Saccharomyces cerevisiae S288C: one gene and its partners. The gene in region 1 interacts genetically with each later gene. Each region holds a gene or a part of one and is shown on either strand. Other genes may lie near its edges.

Region 1 (4,894 bases):
TCTTATACCGTATATGATGGTATACTAGTTTACAATATTAGACGATGGATGATGATTGGTTCTTATCATAATTTGATTTCGGCAGAAGCAATATTAGAGGTATTGTTGTAACGAAATTCCAATGTCATCTGCTTAGTATTATTAATGTTACCTGAATATTATCACATGCTGCTTAAAAATGTGTTATAAGTATTAAAATCTAGTGAAAGTTGAAATGTAATCTAATAGGATAATGAAACATATGAAACGGAATGAGGAATAATCGTTGTATCACTATGTAGAGATATCGATTTCATTTTGAGGATTCCTATATTCTTGGGGAGAACTTCTACTATATTCTGTATACATGATATAATAGCCTCTCCCAACAATGGAATGCCAACAATTATCGAATTATTCACCAGTTTCTCAGGTATACCTTGTATACCTAATATCTTGTATACCTGATATCATAATGTTCAATAACAGTAAAGTGCTAATAATTATGTATTTTTTTGCCGATTTTTCAATATTTCACCTGTTTATCGGTGTCAAAGTACTACGTTTAGTTTACTGTAGGGTTAGTTGATTTTTTTACGGCTAAATTTATGTTGTATTACGGGCTCGAGTAATACCGGAGTGTCTTGACAATCCTAATATAAACAGTCTTAGGGAAGTAACCAGTTGTCAAAACAGTTTATCAGATTAATTCACGGAATGTTACTTATCTTATATATTATATAAAATATGAATCATATTAAGTGGTGGAAGCGCGGAATCTCGGATCTAAACTAATTGTTCAGGCATTTATACGTTTGGGTAGTTCAGCTAGGGAAGGCCGGGTTTTATCTCATGTTGTTCGTTTTGTTATAAGGTTGTTTCATCTGTGTTTTATGAACGTTTAGGATGACGTATTGTCATACTGACGTATCTCATTTTGAGATACAACAATTTACAGTTGTACTGGTCCTATAGTGTAGTGGTTATCACTTTCGGTTTTGATCCGGACAACCCCGGTTCGAATCCGGGTAGGACCTTTTTTATTCATTTTTACATAATATATGCTGAATATATTGGTTAAAGAGGTTTTTTTAGTTCCCAAATGTCCACAGTAAAGTAGATAAAGCAATAGCTATTTCCATCAAATCCAAACAATATTGTATTACCCACTTATTATTAAACAATGCATTTATTGGAGAAACACCCGCTTTCCGGGTAATAGCAGTCTATTTATTCTCATTCATTTATAAGCGGCGGAGAAAAATGATTGAGGAATTGATATAATTACACAGTAACTTTACGGAGCCTAAGGTAACAAGTGAAGTTTGGATAGCAGTTTTATTCCCATTTTTATCTGCAGTATAGGGAACTTGGAATCACCTTTTGAAAGAAGAGAAATGCCTGGATTTACAGCTCCAACAAGAAGGCAGGTGTTGTCTTTATACAAGGAATTCATCAAGAATGCTAATCAATTCAATAATTACAACTTCAGGGAATACTTTTTAAGTAAAACAAGGACTACTTTCAGAAAGAACATGAATCAGCAAGACCCAAAAGTGTTAATGAACCTATTTAAGGAAGCTAAGAACGACTTAGGTGTCTTGAAAAGACAGTCTGTTATTTCTCAGATGTACACATTTGACAGGCTGGTCGTAGAACCATTGCAAGGAAGAAAACACTAAAACCTGGCCTAACTGGTCATTGCATGTAAGAAAGAACTTTCCAGTAATTTTTTCCTTCTCACGTCAGGAAATTCGTATGGTTATATCTTATAGAGAGGTGGCCGCCTTTAATTTGGAAAAGATATTATTAGATGATATTCCTAATTTTCGACCGATACTTTGCATGGTTGGACTTCAATTAGATCATGTAATTTACTTCCTTAATATCAATAGCATTTCTTTTTTGGTAGAAGATTTTTCTTTTCTTTTCTTTTCTTCAACCCACATGGGACTATAAGAGGAGAGTTTATAGCTTGTATATAAAACGCTATAACTAAAACATAAGCCCACTCTGAGGTGAGATGTCTTTACGGTATGATAACAAGCTGATGCAATGAGAGATCCTATGAATTGCTTGGATTCTTTTACATCAGGCATAAAGTTTCCGAAGTATGCAATAAAATGAGTATTTGCTTATTTATTGTTTGTATCGGGCGATCTTACACCTACTTTATGTGCGTAATAGTTGCATCTTCTTTTTTCGGACCATTCCATCGGATAAACTTCTTAGGTAAAAGTGAAAAAAAAAAAAAATTCGCTTATATATTAATCAAGTCATCACTTGGAAGCCGTTCTCTTCCGTTTACAACACGAAGAGCCAACTGTTTTCTTGTGTCATTCTTTAGCACTCTTTCTTTTTATTTTTACATTTTTTAATTAAGATCACCAAATATACCGGGAATATAATGAAGAGAAAAACTGCTGAAGTTAAAGGTGAGAAGGAGAGAAATTCCAAACAAATTTCCCTCGAAGAGGACAAGATAAAGGGTATGTTCAACCCTAAAATCTGGGACAAGACTTTCCAGGATGGCTTGAAAAAGGAAATTGAAGACTCTCAGCCTTACAACTGGGGTACTATTCATGAATTGGTTAATGACGATCTTCTACGTGCTGTTCGTAAAGAAATAGAAACTGAGATCCATTTCACTAAAAAAGAAACCGATATCTATAGAGTCAACCAAAGTGGTGACTTGGCCAATTTGTCTGGTCTGGACTGGGATGACTTGTCCCGTTTGCCTAATTTGTTCAAGCTGCGCCAGATTCTGTATTCCAAGCAATATCGAGATTTTTTTGGCTACGTCACCAAAGCTGGTAAATTGTCTGGTTCTAAGACCGACATGAGCATCAACACTTACACAAAGGGATGTCACTTGTTGACTCATGATGACGTTATTGGCTCTAGAAGGATTAGTTTCATTTTATACCTACCAGATCCCGACAGAAAATGGAAATCGCATTATGGTGGTGGTCTAAGACTTTTTCCAAGTATTTTACCAAACGTTCCACATTCCGATCCATCTGCTAAACTAGTTCCACAGTTCAATCAAATTGCTTTTTTCAAAGTTTTACCGGGTTTCTCTTTCCACGATGTCGAAGAAGTCAAAGTTGATAAGCACAGATTATCTATTCAAGGATGGTACCATATTCCACAAGTTGGCGAAGAAGGTTACATACCTGGTGAAGAAGAAGCGTGGGTCCGTAACAACACATCCACTTTGGCGCAGATTGAATCTAATGTCCTAGAAGATTTTGAATTTCCAAAGGACGAGAGAAATATTTTATCATTTCATGAAGTGAAGCACTTTGAAAAAATGCTCAAGGGCGATGCTGGCGCAAAAACTGATAACACACCTAAAGAATCTATGACTAGTGTGATTTCTGATTCGGTTAAGTTGTCTGAAGCCGAGTTCACCTATCTATCTCAATACATCTCTCCTGAACATTTAAGCTCGAAAGGTATCGAAAAACTACAAAAGCAGTTTGTTGAGAACTCTTCTCTACAAATTGAGTCGTTTTTAAATGACGATAAATCAGAATTGTTAAAGAAGGTTATCAAACAAAAAGAGTTGGAACAGGAATGTCCTTATCATTCAAAAGATGTGAAAGCTCCGTGGAAAACGGCTATTCCTCCACACAAAGCCCGTTATTTGTACATCGACGGTAAGGAATACCGTAATTTCCAAACAGAAGCTGATATTCTTGAGGCGCTGAATAACAATGATTTGCCAAACTTTCAGTTTACTAAGGACGCAATTAAAATTATCTCCGATGCTTCCGGAAATAGTAGGGAAAACAATTTTGATGCAGAATTAGCGTTGATTGACCTAGCTGTATTTCACAAGAGCACAATTTTCAAGAAATACCTAGCTCTTCTAACTTCTTTGTGCCCAGTCAGTGAGCAAATCCTTATTAGAAGGTTTAGGCCAGGAATGGATTTCACATTGGCCACCAAATGTCGCTTTAATGAACTTTTGAAAAGCAATCCAGATATAATCGATGCTGTCTTGGAAGGTACTTTGTGCTTGACACCTTCTGCCGGTTGGGAATCCGGAGAGCTTGGTGGTTACGAATTGTACATGATGGACGACGACGAAGATAATAAGCAATACTTAAAGGAAGACGTTGAAGACGCTTCTGTTTATCGTGCGGATGACAGTGGTGATTCAGTATTGATTAATGATCCACCTGCTTGGAATACTTTCAATTTGGTCTTGAGAGATGAAAGTGTTTTGGAGTTTGTTAAGTACGTCAGCTGGAGCGCTAAATCTAGTAGATGGGATGTCAAAATGAAGTGGGATGTCAAATCATGTGATGAAGATGGTCAGGAAGATGAAGCGTAAACAATTAACCCGTCTTATTAAGTAAATGGCAGCTTAGATATTTATAAAGTTGTATAATAGAAGTAATAAAATTATTTGAAAAGTTATTCGTCAATTTCAGCTTATTCCTCTGGCGTGAATATCATTACCATAATCCAAATTCGAGTAAGCGAATAAAACGGGTATATTAAAGAAATATAAGAATGAATATAAGTTTAACTTAAGATCTAATTGCGATTCTTTTTACATATTGTATATTTACAGACAGAACTATGAAATGCCTTATTTTCTTAATTATTTCATGTGGAGAAGCATTAGTGTAGTACAGTTCACATTAATCCTATTGCCTGGCACCGTCTAATGGCTTTCGATAGTCTTCTTTGATTCTTTGCCGATAAGCCTGTGATATCCCTATGTTGGATTCTTCCCGTGGAGGTCACATATCTTGAAAGTATTCTTGGTCTTGCATAAAATTCTAGTGGATTTGCACCGGACTTCATTATATCGTTCCTGTTTGAGTTCTTGTTTGCCTGATATTTTCTATCTAAATGGATTCGTCCCATAGAGAAGTCAAATGGATCGTAGATAGTACCT
Region 2 (5,107 bases), on another chromosome or scaffold:
TTTCGAAATACTCTTTATTTATTAAGCTTTTATGAGAATCCGAGACTTTTCCAAATTTGGTCCATTACCCGGGGGTTAATATATCTTGAATAAACCATTGTATTATATCTCACTATATAGTAATTGTACAGTTTTGTCACTACTATAATCTATGCCACACCTTGCGGTTGCTGCTACCATGTCACATTCCCATTCTGCTAGATTCATGCAATTCTCTTAATATTTCAGTGGGTGACGTTAGGTAATTACCTTCTTTAAAACTTCATCTTCTTTTTTGTCATGTCTTTGTTAATATCATTCACATCACTTGTTGGAAGCTCTTCATTGCTTGTATTGGAGTTGCCGTTTGGCCCCAACGTCGTGGTGCGAGGAGAGATACCGCTGTTGCGTCGCCTCTTTGCGTGCAAGGGCTCGCTTCCACTGTCCTTCTTGTCGGCGTCAATGTACGCACTTAGGGCGGTCACGGGACTATCAATGTTCTTTTCAATTTGAAACTTTCGAAGGTTTTTCAAAGTAGACATAACGGTACTTATTTGCATGACTCTCATCAACCCTTCTTGAGTGCCAAACACAGAGACGTTTCTGAATACGTCAAAATATGATCTCAGCTGAGTGATGGCCTCAAAATTCGGAGGAACATTCGTAGCATTATTTTCTGCAAAAGAATTCCCTTGCTCTTTGACATCTTCTTGTTTCAATTTACGGAATATTTGTTCAATTTCTGTAGACTTTGTGTCATCACTCAAAAGCCGTTCCACTGCATTCCATTCAATATCAGGGACAAAACTATGCATAGATACGTCCAGCCAATTAATTTTCAAGTCCAAATCGAAAGCACCTTTCATTTGGGAAAAATGTGTAATATATGAACCATCAGGATAATAATAGACAAATGTGACACGAGGACAGTTGAAAAAAATCGTAGAATTACTTAGAACTTGTGTTTTCAATTGTAAAACCTTAACTTCCATTCTAACGATGCCAAATCTGCCTAATGTAGAGCAAATAACTGGGAACACTGGGATGATAAATTCGAATTCTCTATAATCTGTCATAGACTTTTTACTATACCTTATAACTGCATCAGGTGTAAAAATATCTGATATTAATTCTGTCCAGAATGAAAGCAGGCCAATCTTACCCATTGCCGTATTCACCTCATTTATTATTTCGTACAATTTCAACATCGCCAAATTAGATAAGTATTTTCTTACATGATACGGCACCCGTAACATAGATAAAGATGCCTGGGATGCAGACCGTGGTAACGGAGCAGCTGCCGTTGCTGCTGTAGCCATGGGATGGGGAAAGGATGCTACCGGCGTAAACATTGGCATAGACCCGCTGCCAGGGCCCCCAGTTGCATTCGTATTCTGCGCAGAGTTGTGAAAAGTTTGAGTCACTTGTGGAAGCTGGTTAAACACCTGCTGTTCTGATGAAGGCTGTGGAAATTGACCCCCCTGTGGTTGACCTGGAAATGGCACTTGTTGTGGATAAACCGTGGGCGGTATATTCTGCTGCGCGGTGGGAGGAAAGTTAATATTACCATTTGGGTACGGTGGTGTGTTATTATTCACAATGTAAGGCATCGGCACAGCTTGAGGAGGCGGTTGCGGTGGGCCTTGGTACATATTGCAGATAATCTTTGCTTTTCCTTCTGCCCCATGAACAGTGTCAAGTGTTGTCTTTATTGCTCCATAGTTAATATTTTTAGTTCAGGCGGGAAGCCCCACAAGATGAGAAAAGAAATCCGAGAGGCTTAAACAATACTATATGGGGCAAAGTTCTGCTCTATATAAAGAGAGGCGCATTTGCAAGAAATAGTTAAGAACTTTCCATAAATTGGTCAGATATAAATCAATTTATCGTGCTCAAATATACTATTCAGTTTCTCAGATATAGGTTGCACAAATTGGCAAAGTTCTACAAGAGTCATTCATACATCCCCTGATGAGTAAGATACTATTCTGCAAATCTAAAGTGTTCTTACACCCAACAAGCGATGCTAGAGATAATATTGCTGGTTTCCTGCTACTCACATTGGAAGCGAATAAGCTATCCCACCAAGCAATTCTCCAATATATCCCAGAATCTGGCTTATCCACATTAGAGATATCAAAACTACTAAAACATGAAGCTAAAGTGGGCACATGTCCAACTTCTACACCATTTGTTATTGAAAATTCAATAAACTTTAGTAACCTGGTCAATACTTCTTTAGGTCAAGCTTTCGAAATTTCTCTCTCACAAATATACTGCATCCAATTTAGGCCTCCTAGTCCAAATGGTTGGTATGTCGGATCTCTGGTAATATATCCCTTGACAGAACAGTTTACGGGCTTTCAACCTCCTGTCTTGTTCTTTCATGACCAACTCTGCCCATCAACTACGGACAAGTTAAAAAGACTACGCAAATCCATGAACCCATTTGATGACTCGGACGAATTGTATTGGGGTGGCGTAGATTTGAGAAACAAAATCAACGAACTGATGGAACTCAAGAAATCAAACTTAGAGCCAGAGTTTTGGTTAGTAAATCCCTCTTTGAATGATTTGAGAAATTTCGTTTCCAAGGATCTATTGGAAAGTTATAACAATTCGAAGAAAGATACAACTGAACTCGCTACCGCCGGTGTGAAACTAAACGAGAAATTCCAAGAATGGAAATGGAACGTAATGAGCAAGATAGCAGACGTGACTACCAAGTCTACCAATTTTATCGATAGTTGGCTGACTAACAACTCACCCATACAAAAATCACAAATCGACAATGAATACTTGCAAAAGCTTCTGAACAATGAGAAGGTTAAACAAATTGAACAGGATTATGACTCTGCAAGAGTGTATTTGGCAAACTGGTCATTAGGAGTAAAACAGGAAGCTGAGAGGTATCAAAAGCAGAACAAACTCTTTGATTCGTATAGGAATAACATTTTCAACGACCTGAATCTAACTGATGAATTAAGTGATACTGAAATAAATAATGCTCTGCAAAGACAATTTCCTTTAACGGAAGCGAAATGGAATTCGCTATGGGATGAGAACGATGGGAGGCTGAGGGTCACGGTAAACGAAGTTAAGGATTTCATATTTCATGGTGGGTTAGAAAATGACAGTTTGCGAGGGAAAGTTTGGGGTTTTCTCTTAGAAATATATCCGTGGGATTCTTCTCAAGACGAGAGGGTACAAATCGATCAAACTTTAGCCGCGGAATACGATCAATTGAAACTAACCTGGTCAAAAGATTTTTTACAATTTGACGATGAAGATGAAGAGGAATATTGGAACGATCAATTATTCAGAATATCTAAAGATGTGAGACGCTGTGATAGAAACTTGGAGATATTTCAATACAATACCATCGATGGATTACCACCACCGCCACAACAACTCCCAGCAAATGAAAATAACAGTACCAGCCCCGAATCCGCTAATGACGAGAGCGATGATGCAGACGATGGAGTCAGGAACCCACATTTGATACATTTACAAAACATTCTTATCACTTATAATGTCTACAACACAAACTTAGGCTACGTGCAGGGGATGACCGATCTTTTATCGCCTATTTATGTCATCATGAAGGAAGAATGGAAAACGTTTTGGTGTTTTACGCACTTCATGGACATTATGGAAAGAAATTTTCTAAGAGACCAGAGTGGCATCCATGAACAAATGTTAACTCTCGTGGAATTGGTACAATTAATGCTACCCGAATTGAGCGAACATTTAAACAAGTGTGATTCAGGAAACTTGTTCTTTTGCTTTCGAATGCTTCTAGTATGGTTCAAGAGAGAATTTGAAATGGAAGATATTATGCACATTTGGGAGAATTTCTGGACTTTCTACTACAGTTCACAATTCCAATTATTCTTCATGTTGGCCATTCTACAGAAAAACTCACAAGCTATTTTACAACATCTAAATCAGTTCGACCAAATATTAAAATTTTTTAATGAACTTAACGGGAAGTTGGATTGGAATGACCTAATGGTTAGAGCAGAGCTTTTGTTCAAGAAGTTTGAGAAAATGATGCACGTCATGGAAAGAGATTTACAAAACGTATCCTCCTCTTCATCCTCATCCTCTACCGGCGTATTGCCTTGTCAGAGCGAGAGGTTGACCCTGCTTCTTTCTAAAAAACCTATCATAAGACATGAAGGGCAAAGGAGCAAAAATTCCGTTAAATAGTGGTAAATAGAAACGGAACTTTACATATTGAATACCGGAGATATAATTCGTTTATGCCACATAATCATCAATACATCCGTAACCCGCCCGAAACGGAAAAACTGAAGAAAAATTACATAAAAAGTTTAATATTTTTATCAAATTTAATTGAACCTATATTTAGGAACATTATTGTTTTTAATTTCTAAACCGGTTGGGTTGGTCGATAGTTGTGCTCTGGATCATTGATAACCACTGACGTGTAATAGTTTTATTTCTTTGAAAAATTCAAAAGAAATAACAACACTCGTTCTCGGAAACAAGAAAATACACACAATAATGTCTACTATTCCCTCAGAAATCATCAATTGGACCATCTTAAATGAAATTATATCTATGGATGACGATGATTCCGATTTTTCTAAAGGTCTAATTATTCAATTTATCGACCAGGCACAAACAACTTTTGCTCAAATGCAACGACAGCTGGACGGTGAAAAAAATCTTACCGAATTAGACAATCTGGGCCATTTTTTAAAGGGTTCTTCTGCTGCATTAGGCTTACAAAGAATTGCCTGGGTTTGTGAAAGAATTCAAAACTTGGGAAGAAAAATGGAACATTTCTTCCCCAACAAGACCGAATTGGTCAACACTCTGAGCGATAAATCGATTATTAATGGAATCAATATTGATGAAGATGACGAGGAAATAAAGATACAAGTGGACGATAAAGACGAAAATTCCATATATCTCATCTTGATAGCAAAAGCTTTGAACCAGTCTAGGTTGGAGTTCAAACTGGCGAGAATTGAGTTATCTAAATATTACAACACAAACCTATAATCGTCATCATTTTATTCACACCTCCGGATAATCCATTCTTCCCCGGAAAAACACATGTACAATATATATTATATATATATATATATGTATATCA
Region 3 (4,109 bases), on another chromosome or scaffold:
TTTCTTCTTTAAAATTTCCAACTCTTGTCCATTATTTGCTTTACTTGAGGACACTTCTTGTTTTAAGCTCAAAACTTGACTTTGAAGTTCTTTTATCTCATTTTTCAGGGTTGATTCCGAATTTTGCAGCTGCATGATTTTTCCATCTTTAAGTGCGATACTGTTTTGTAAATCATCAACGCGAGTTAACGCTGTGTTCTCATCCTTTCTAATAAACCATTCAGAATCACCTTTATTTAACAATTGATATTGAGTCATCATTGTAAACAAACATTCTAAATATGGTGTCTTCACGCCAAAGTCATCTGCTAATAATATCGGCTGTAATAACAATAAGTCAATATTCAAAGATGAAGCCTTATGGATGAAATTATATAAAAGTGCCGGCCCATCAGGTAAGTCTTCGCACTTATTCTTCCAATGTTTCAATATAGTCTGTTCATTTTGAAAATTTGGATTGTTCATGGCTATACCCATTTTTTTTATTATTAATAAGCTCTCGCCTAGTAAACCTGAAATAAGAGGTTTGGCCAAAACGTGGTCATCCAAGGTTGATGGATTCTTCTCTTCTAATATTATTAATAATGGATCGAAACATATTTGAGGCAAAGCTAGTTCCCATTCTTTTGCCAAGAAAGCGGAGGGAGAATGATCGTAAAGAGTCACAACGTCCCTAGGAAACAGTTTTTGGAACAATTTCTGAAATGTATTCAAAATAGGAATAATATCACTTGAATAGCTGTTTTCGTGAACGGATGTCGTTTGACCGATCGAAACAGAAAAGGATTTGGCATTTGCAGTCGTGAACTGTTTGTATGAGCCATTGTCCAACCGTCTTATGTCATAATCGGTGAAAATGCTGAAAATATTTGACAGCGAAAGATCAACTGAAGCCTTGATGAATGGCTCCAAATATATAAACCCGCTACTTTCAAATAGTATCTTTGTTGTCTTATTCATCATAGGTTTTATATCTCTCAATACCTGCGGGATTTCTTGCAGTGAAGACGCACTCATTATTATCAAGTCGAATACCAAGCCACCATTTTCATTATTAAGGTCTACTAAATCTAGGAGCGATTGGAAATGGTTTTGAATCTGAAACCGTTCCGTCCCATAAAATAGTGAACTAACCTCGTAGTTGGCATTTTTTGAGTTGTTCACAAGATAAAATTCTATATTTTTGGCATGTTGAAACCTGGATGTGTACAGAATGAGATTTGGGTGATCTCCGCATACCAAAACCCTTAATGCAGATGTCATTATTCAATATACCTATCGCGAGATATGCCGGGAATAAAATGTAGGAAACAAAAAGAAAAATATATGCACAGTAGTTCAAACAGAATAGAAATGACGGAGAGCAAATATTTGGGTAGAATCACAGACTTTAGTGTTGGTTACAAGCTTTTCGAATGGATGTAGTTTGTAATCAAAGGACACTAATAATAGCGAAAAAAAAAAGGGCAAGTATGTTGGCAGTCGCCTCTTTTTCAATTTAGCGGTAAGTTTTTAATGAATGGCCTGGTGATAATAGATATGAACAACTTCGCTATCGTGTATGCCAATATCACTTTTCTTTTCTACTACTTACTCGACTTTACTCTACCTTTTCATGTTTGTAGATTTCTGTTTCATTCTAGTCTCGAGAATGGCCCACAGCACGGCCAACAGGGGGCTGCGACAATTTCGCGTAGAGCCCATTGTGAAAAAAGCCACCCAAGCTATTATTGTACACAGAAGAATATGGAAGCAAATCGCCAGTGCTACGTGAATGGGACAAAAACATGATGCCTTGTTTAGTATTAGCATTTTAGATACGCCTTTTCAACTTCAAATTGTGCTATAGATAGGAAGATCTCTTTATTACGCAATATATGTTGTGTGTATTTAGGATAAGACTATATCGTCCAACCATACACCGCGTTTCATCTTGTCTTTTTTGCAGCTAGTAAGAATTAAGCATCAAGAATTGTTCAGTTTGCGATGAGTAATGAAATATATTTAAAGAGGACTAATGTTGTTAAAGTAAGCAGTGCTTTTTTCACGCAGTGTATTTTTAGAATAAGTGGCCATGGGTTATATTTTGACAGGATATTCTAGCCGTCATGATAAGAGAAAGAAACATGCACTTCCTTTGCATCGGTATGCATCGTCTTCGATAAACTTGCAGCACCATGTGCATCTCTTAGAGACCCGGGTTTCATCCAAGAGGCCAATATCGGAAGATCAAAGGACTATCAGGCTTCCTGCGAAGAAACTTAGGCATCATCAAAAGCTAACTTTGCAAGATTTACCTGTAGAGATTATTCAACATATTTTCGTTTTCACAAAGGGTGAACCGTCGATGGTCACCTTGAACAGGTTCTTCTATAGTTGCTTGAAGCCATCTTTTTCATTATTATCGAAGATCATGTGGGAAAAATATCTTTTCGATCCCCTGGAGTTTGGCGTAAGTAATATAAAAGCTTATTCAAGAAATATTGTGATCCCTACATTATTTGAGCATGAAACTTTTTTTAGACTACTACTAGATCATCATCCTATCCTGTTGAAAAATATTTCTCATTTTCTTCCCAGAAAGCACTATCAAGATATGCAGAATGGCGATTTTGATACATCTAAAGAGCTAGACTTGTGTTCAATGAACACTGAAGATACATCGAAAGAAGACTTCCCTAAAAACTTTTACAACAATATGCATATTTTTTTAACACGTAGGGAATGTGTGAAGTCTCTAGGTAATCATTTTACTTTGAAGAATCCATATGATGTGATATCCCCTTTTATAGAATGGTTTTTTCAAGGTATTGATATGCAAGGAACTGACCTAAGCCCTAAGTTTACCTTTGTTTCTCTATTTGAATCAATAGATTTAATCCTATACGTCTCTGGATCTACAGTGCAAAAACTAGCGTCTATTGAACCCCTTACGACTGTAATATTTTTATTATATTTCACGTATGCTGATTCACTAGGGAGTCTGAACTTTGAGTTTTTTTTGCAGAATAGATCAAGATTACAGCTCATAGAGAAATTTATCCTGAAATATTATTACAATCCATCATTGACAGAAAACGAACTTTTATCTGATAGCACTATATGGGACCTGTTAAGGCGGGTGTCTGATTTAAAACTCATAGATTTGGTCGTTAAATGCGGCGGAAGGCCTCAATACGGGGTTATGTTTGCATAATTAAATTACTTAGTATTAAGATTCTGCCCCTTGCATGCATGCACAATATGTGCTTGCCAATTCATTTATGTACAAAAGATGGTGTTATATAAGGAATATATTTTGTTTTCTTTGATATTTTCCCTTTCTCATATTCTTGCGGTTTTTCTGCTTTCATTACGTCGCTAATTAGTTTGTCAAAAATTATAACACCGTTAGTTTCCAAGCAATAATTATATAAGGTCCCGTTAAAAAATATCGATAATCAAAAGGTTTTCAAGTAGCAAGCAATAAATAGCTTTCCGAAGACTAAACAGGCTTTCATAGTGTCTCAGTAAGCGTATGGATGGACAACGCAGTTGATGACAGAGAAACACAAAACTATGGGGAAATTTAAGGTTATTGTATTGGCAGGTACTGCAGGTACAGGAAAATCAACCATTGCAGGTGAACTAATCCATGAATTTAAAGATATATACCCGGATTTGAAATTCATCGAAGGTGATGATTTACACCCGCCTGCCAACGTAGAAAAGATGACAAGAGGGATTCCATTAAATGACGACGACCGTTGGGACTGGTTGAAAAAAGTTGCCGTAGAATCTACAAAAGCTGCAGCAAGCACTAAGGAGCATTTGTCAATTGTTGCTTGCTCGAGCTTGAAGAAGAAATACAGAGATTTGATTAGGCACACATGCCCTGAATCGGAGTTCCATTTTATCTTTTTGTATGCAAGTAAAATAGAAGTTCTGAAAAGGCTCAAAACAAGGAAGGGTCATTTCATGAAAGCTGATATGATGGAGTCTCAATTCAGGGATCTGGAGTTACCAGACATCAACGACGAAACTGACTGTGACATTGTTCCCTTAGATTTCAAAACGTTTTATCAAATTGAAAAAGATGTTATACAGGTGGTAAAAAGTAAAGTTTTGAA
Region 4 (3,128 bases), on another chromosome or scaffold:
CGAGTTTTGCGTACTTCGTTTATATCTTTTGTGGTGCTAGTTTCCTCGCTGTCAGGGTTGGACCAAGGCCTCATATCTGGTAACGTTATGACTTTGTCGTTCCAGAAGTATTTTCATTACCCACTTACTTCTCCGCTGGGCAATATAGTGAGCATTGTTAATCTGGGTGCGTTCATGGCGTCGTTATTTGTCTATTCTGGCATCCTGGAGCCTTGTAGCAGGAAAAAAATGCTCCAAATAAGCACAATGATATACTCTTTGGGTGCCATTGTTCAGGTCTTGGCTCTAAACCAATGGTGTTTACTACTGGGTAGATTCTTACTCGGAGTAGGTATGGGCTTTGCCTTTTCTATGGTAATAATTTATCAATTCGAGTTTCCCCTTCCCTGTATAAGAAAACGGACATTAATTTCCATTCAATGCGTCTCTAGTGTCATTGCGTATTCATTCGGAATATGGATTAATTGTGCTTTCAGATATTTGGGCTTTGCATGGAGATACCCTTTGTCAACACATGTGGCACTTGGAATAATACTAAACCTAATGTCGTTCTATCTTATTTTAGAGTCCCCTTCGTGGCTGTTGAAGCAAAAGAACGACGTAGAGGCATTGGTTTTAATATCGAATGTTTTCGATGATGGAAATTTCGAAGAAAACCAAACTCAGTTGAAATTTAGGGTCCTGAAACGAGACATATTATTAAAGTCACACCTTCAAAAAAACTCCTATCCATATGCGTATATCTTAAAGGATTTTTCTTCAATAATAAAATTGTTGATAGGTTTCCAACTTCTCACACGAACAAATGGAGTGGATGCTTTCTTGTATTACTCACCGTTAATATTACAACAAATGGGGAGAGGAGAAAGAAAATCTATCTATTTAACGGGGCTTAATGCTTTAATTTACAGCATCGTAATATTAGCATATGTTCCCTTGGTGTTACGGAAACGTAAAGAGAAAACGAATGTACTCTTAGGTTCGATTGTGATGTGTGCATTGCTATTTACCATATCTTTTACAGACTGGTTTCCCAAGAGCACAACGAGGTATATATCAATACTATTTGCTGTTTTTCTTTTTACGCACTTCATCAGTTGGGATTCTATAGGATGGGTTATGACCATTGAGCTTCTACCTCACTTGTCACAGGCCCCAGTGATACTACTAGTCTCAAACTTTTATTGGATTTTTAAGTGGTTCGTCAGCTTAATAACCCCTATACTTATTGACCGTCTGTCTTGGAAGTTTTATCTTATTCCATCTTTATCTTCCTTTATTTCCATTATATTTGTGCTGAAGATTTTTCCTATAGAAACCCGTGACGAAAGGTTAGATTCTGATGATGATTCTACCGGAAACGGTAGCGGTAACCATGATGATGTTTTTGACGATACCGGTTCTGAATTCTCCTCCTCACCATCTTTTTCCGCGTATCAGATAAACACTCTAGGAAGTAGTATCAAACAAAATAATCAAGCCTATTCATCTATTCAAAATGAGCAGATTCTACCCAAAAACGGAAACTTATCGAACCAGACACACGGTTCTGCACAAAATGTTTATTTCATTACATCTGATTCAGGACCATCAAGGACTGGAGAATTTTTCAGTTTTCATAACAGAACCGATCCAAATATCAGCGACAACATTGCTGCGAATAAACCCAGTTCAGGTGGAGGCCAGAATTCGCCTGGAGACATGGCAGTTGCCTAGTATGGCCTCATAAAAATATTTGCTTCATCCTAAGTATAAATGTTTAGTTTTATCCTACATACATATTCTTATTATAGTCATTAGAAAAAAGGCACGGCGCTATTGGCCTGGCAGGGCATTTAAAATGCGGTGGAAACAAGGAAGATTAATCAAGTAATGATATAGCATATGCACAAAAAAAAAATTGAAAACGGTCGCATTTTTGATCTAAATGGACCAACGATGAAGGAACTGCTTTACTATACATTCATTGAAACTGAAGTGACTGGTGCATTTTTGGTGTTTAGGGAAAAGACTCAAAACCTTGTTTTTGCCTCGTTAGGTAATGATAAGCTTTTTTTATTGGGAAAGGTGGAAGGCTTCTTGAAGAAACATGAGAAACAGGATACAATGTACGATTTACAGGAACTAAAAGAGGCAGAAACATATAAGAAATCAATCGAAAATTATACAATATGTTTAGAAAACAAAATGCCATTACCATCGGGCGCTATTCCCTTTGAGTTCCTGTTTGGAACAGATTTTCAACGTAAAGTTTGGAATGAGCTTTTAAACGTGGAACACGGCCACGTCGTAACATATGGTGATATTGCAAAGAGAATAGGGAAGCCAACTGCCGCAAGATCTGTCGGAAGAGCTTGCGGCTCAAATAACCTGGCATTGTTAGTACCTTGCCATAGAATCGTTGGTAGCAATAGAAAATTAACCGGATATAAATGGAGCTGTAAACTGAAAGAACAGTTATTAAATAATGAAAAGGAAAATAGCTTAAGCCTTAGTAGATTGTAGTTGGATAAAGGATTTTAGGAAAATAAACATAAGAAATAGTTATGTATATGTGGTAAATTGTTCTAGTTATACATCTATGTTACAATATGGCTGGCGTTGGTAATCTTGTGAAACAAGCGACGAACTTGTCACCCTTCTTTCTTTCCACTTTTTTACCTTCTTCTGTGGCATTTCTCATTATTTTCACACATTCATCGTTTTCTTCCCATTCTTTGCTCAACCGTTCAAATAAAGGATGCTCTTCTAAATGTTTTACCATCCACTCATGCAGGTCTTTGACGTCTGTAATTGTGTACACGACACCGCCCTCTTTCAAAACATATGCGTACTCACTCAGCAAGGTGTTAGTGATAATTCTTGCCTTATGCTTTCTTTGTTTGAAATGAGGATCGGGGAAACAAAAAAACATTTTAGAAAGCTGGCCCTTTTCAAAAAAGTTGGGCAAGAATTTCATAGCGTTACCTCTCAAGACATTAATGTTTTGAAATCCATGTTTTGAAGCTGTATTGTTCCTTAAGGCAATAATTCTATCCTCCACGTAATTTGTAACCTGCACACGAATTTCCATCCCTAAGATAAGATCTTCAGGGAAGGCTGGTGATAAATCTATCATCAACCCACCG

What was found.
Region 2: mutations in TPA1 (region 1) and GYP7 together harm fitness less than expected from each alone (positive genetic interaction), as found in Saccharomyces cerevisiae (2 studies listed by BioGRID).
Region 3: mutations in TPA1 (region 1) and YDR249C together harm fitness more than expected from each alone (negative genetic interaction), as found in Saccharomyces cerevisiae (2 studies listed by BioGRID).
Region 4: mutations in TPA1 (region 1) and MGT1 together harm fitness more than expected from each alone (negative genetic interaction), as found in Saccharomyces cerevisiae (2 studies listed by BioGRID).

The regions. Positions count from the first base shown.
Region 1 is NC_001137.3:249,342-254,235, forward strand, and holds TPA1 (oxidative DNA demethylase), read left to right. Parts: upstream 1-2,386; coding exon 2,387-4,321; downstream 4,322-4,894. Other genes in the region: ISD11 (Isd11p), read left to right, coding at 1,377-1,661; mitochondrial 37S ribosomal protein bS18m RSM18, read right to left, coding at 4,630-4,894. UniProt on the Saccharomyces cerevisiae protein: Prolyl 3,4-dihydroxylase that catalyzes 3,4-dihydroxylation of 'Pro-64' of small ribosomal subunit uS12 (RPS23A and RPS23B), thereby regulating protein translation termination efficiency.
Region 2 is NC_001136.10:33,321-38,427, reverse strand, and holds GYP7 (GTPase-activating protein GYP7), read left to right. Parts: upstream 1-1,950; coding exon 1,951-4,191; downstream 4,192-5,107. Other genes in the region: MFG1 (Mfg1p), read right to left, coding at 255-1,631; YPD1 (Ypd1p), read left to right, coding at 4,510-5,013. UniProt on the Saccharomyces cerevisiae protein: GTPase-activating protein (GAP) that most effectively accelerates the intrinsic GTPase activity of Ypt/Rab-type GTPase YPT7 involved in vacuole docking and fusion. It is also active, but to a lesser extent, on YPT31, YPT32, YPT1, YPT6 and SEC4.
Region 3 is NC_001136.10:957,768-961,876, reverse strand, and holds YDR249C (uncharacterized protein), read left to right. Parts: upstream 1-2,074; coding exon 2,075-3,196; downstream 3,197-4,109. Other genes in the region: PAM1 (Pam1p), read right to left, coding at 1-1,263; YDR248C (gluconokinase), read left to right, coding at 3,538-4,109.
Region 4 is NC_001136.10:99,878-103,005, reverse strand, and holds MGT1 (methylated-DNA--protein-cysteine methyltransferase), read left to right. Parts: upstream 1-1,938; coding exon 1,939-2,505; downstream 2,506-3,128. Other genes in the region: YDL199C (uncharacterized protein), read left to right, coding at 1-1,716; TRM8 (tRNA (guanine46-N7)-methyltransferase), read right to left, coding at 2,585-3,128. UniProt on the Saccharomyces cerevisiae protein: Involved in the cellular defense against the biological effects of O6-methylguanine (O6-MeG) and O4-methylthymine (O4-MeT) in DNA. Repairs the methylated nucleobase in DNA by stoichiometrically transferring the methyl group to a cysteine residue in the enzyme.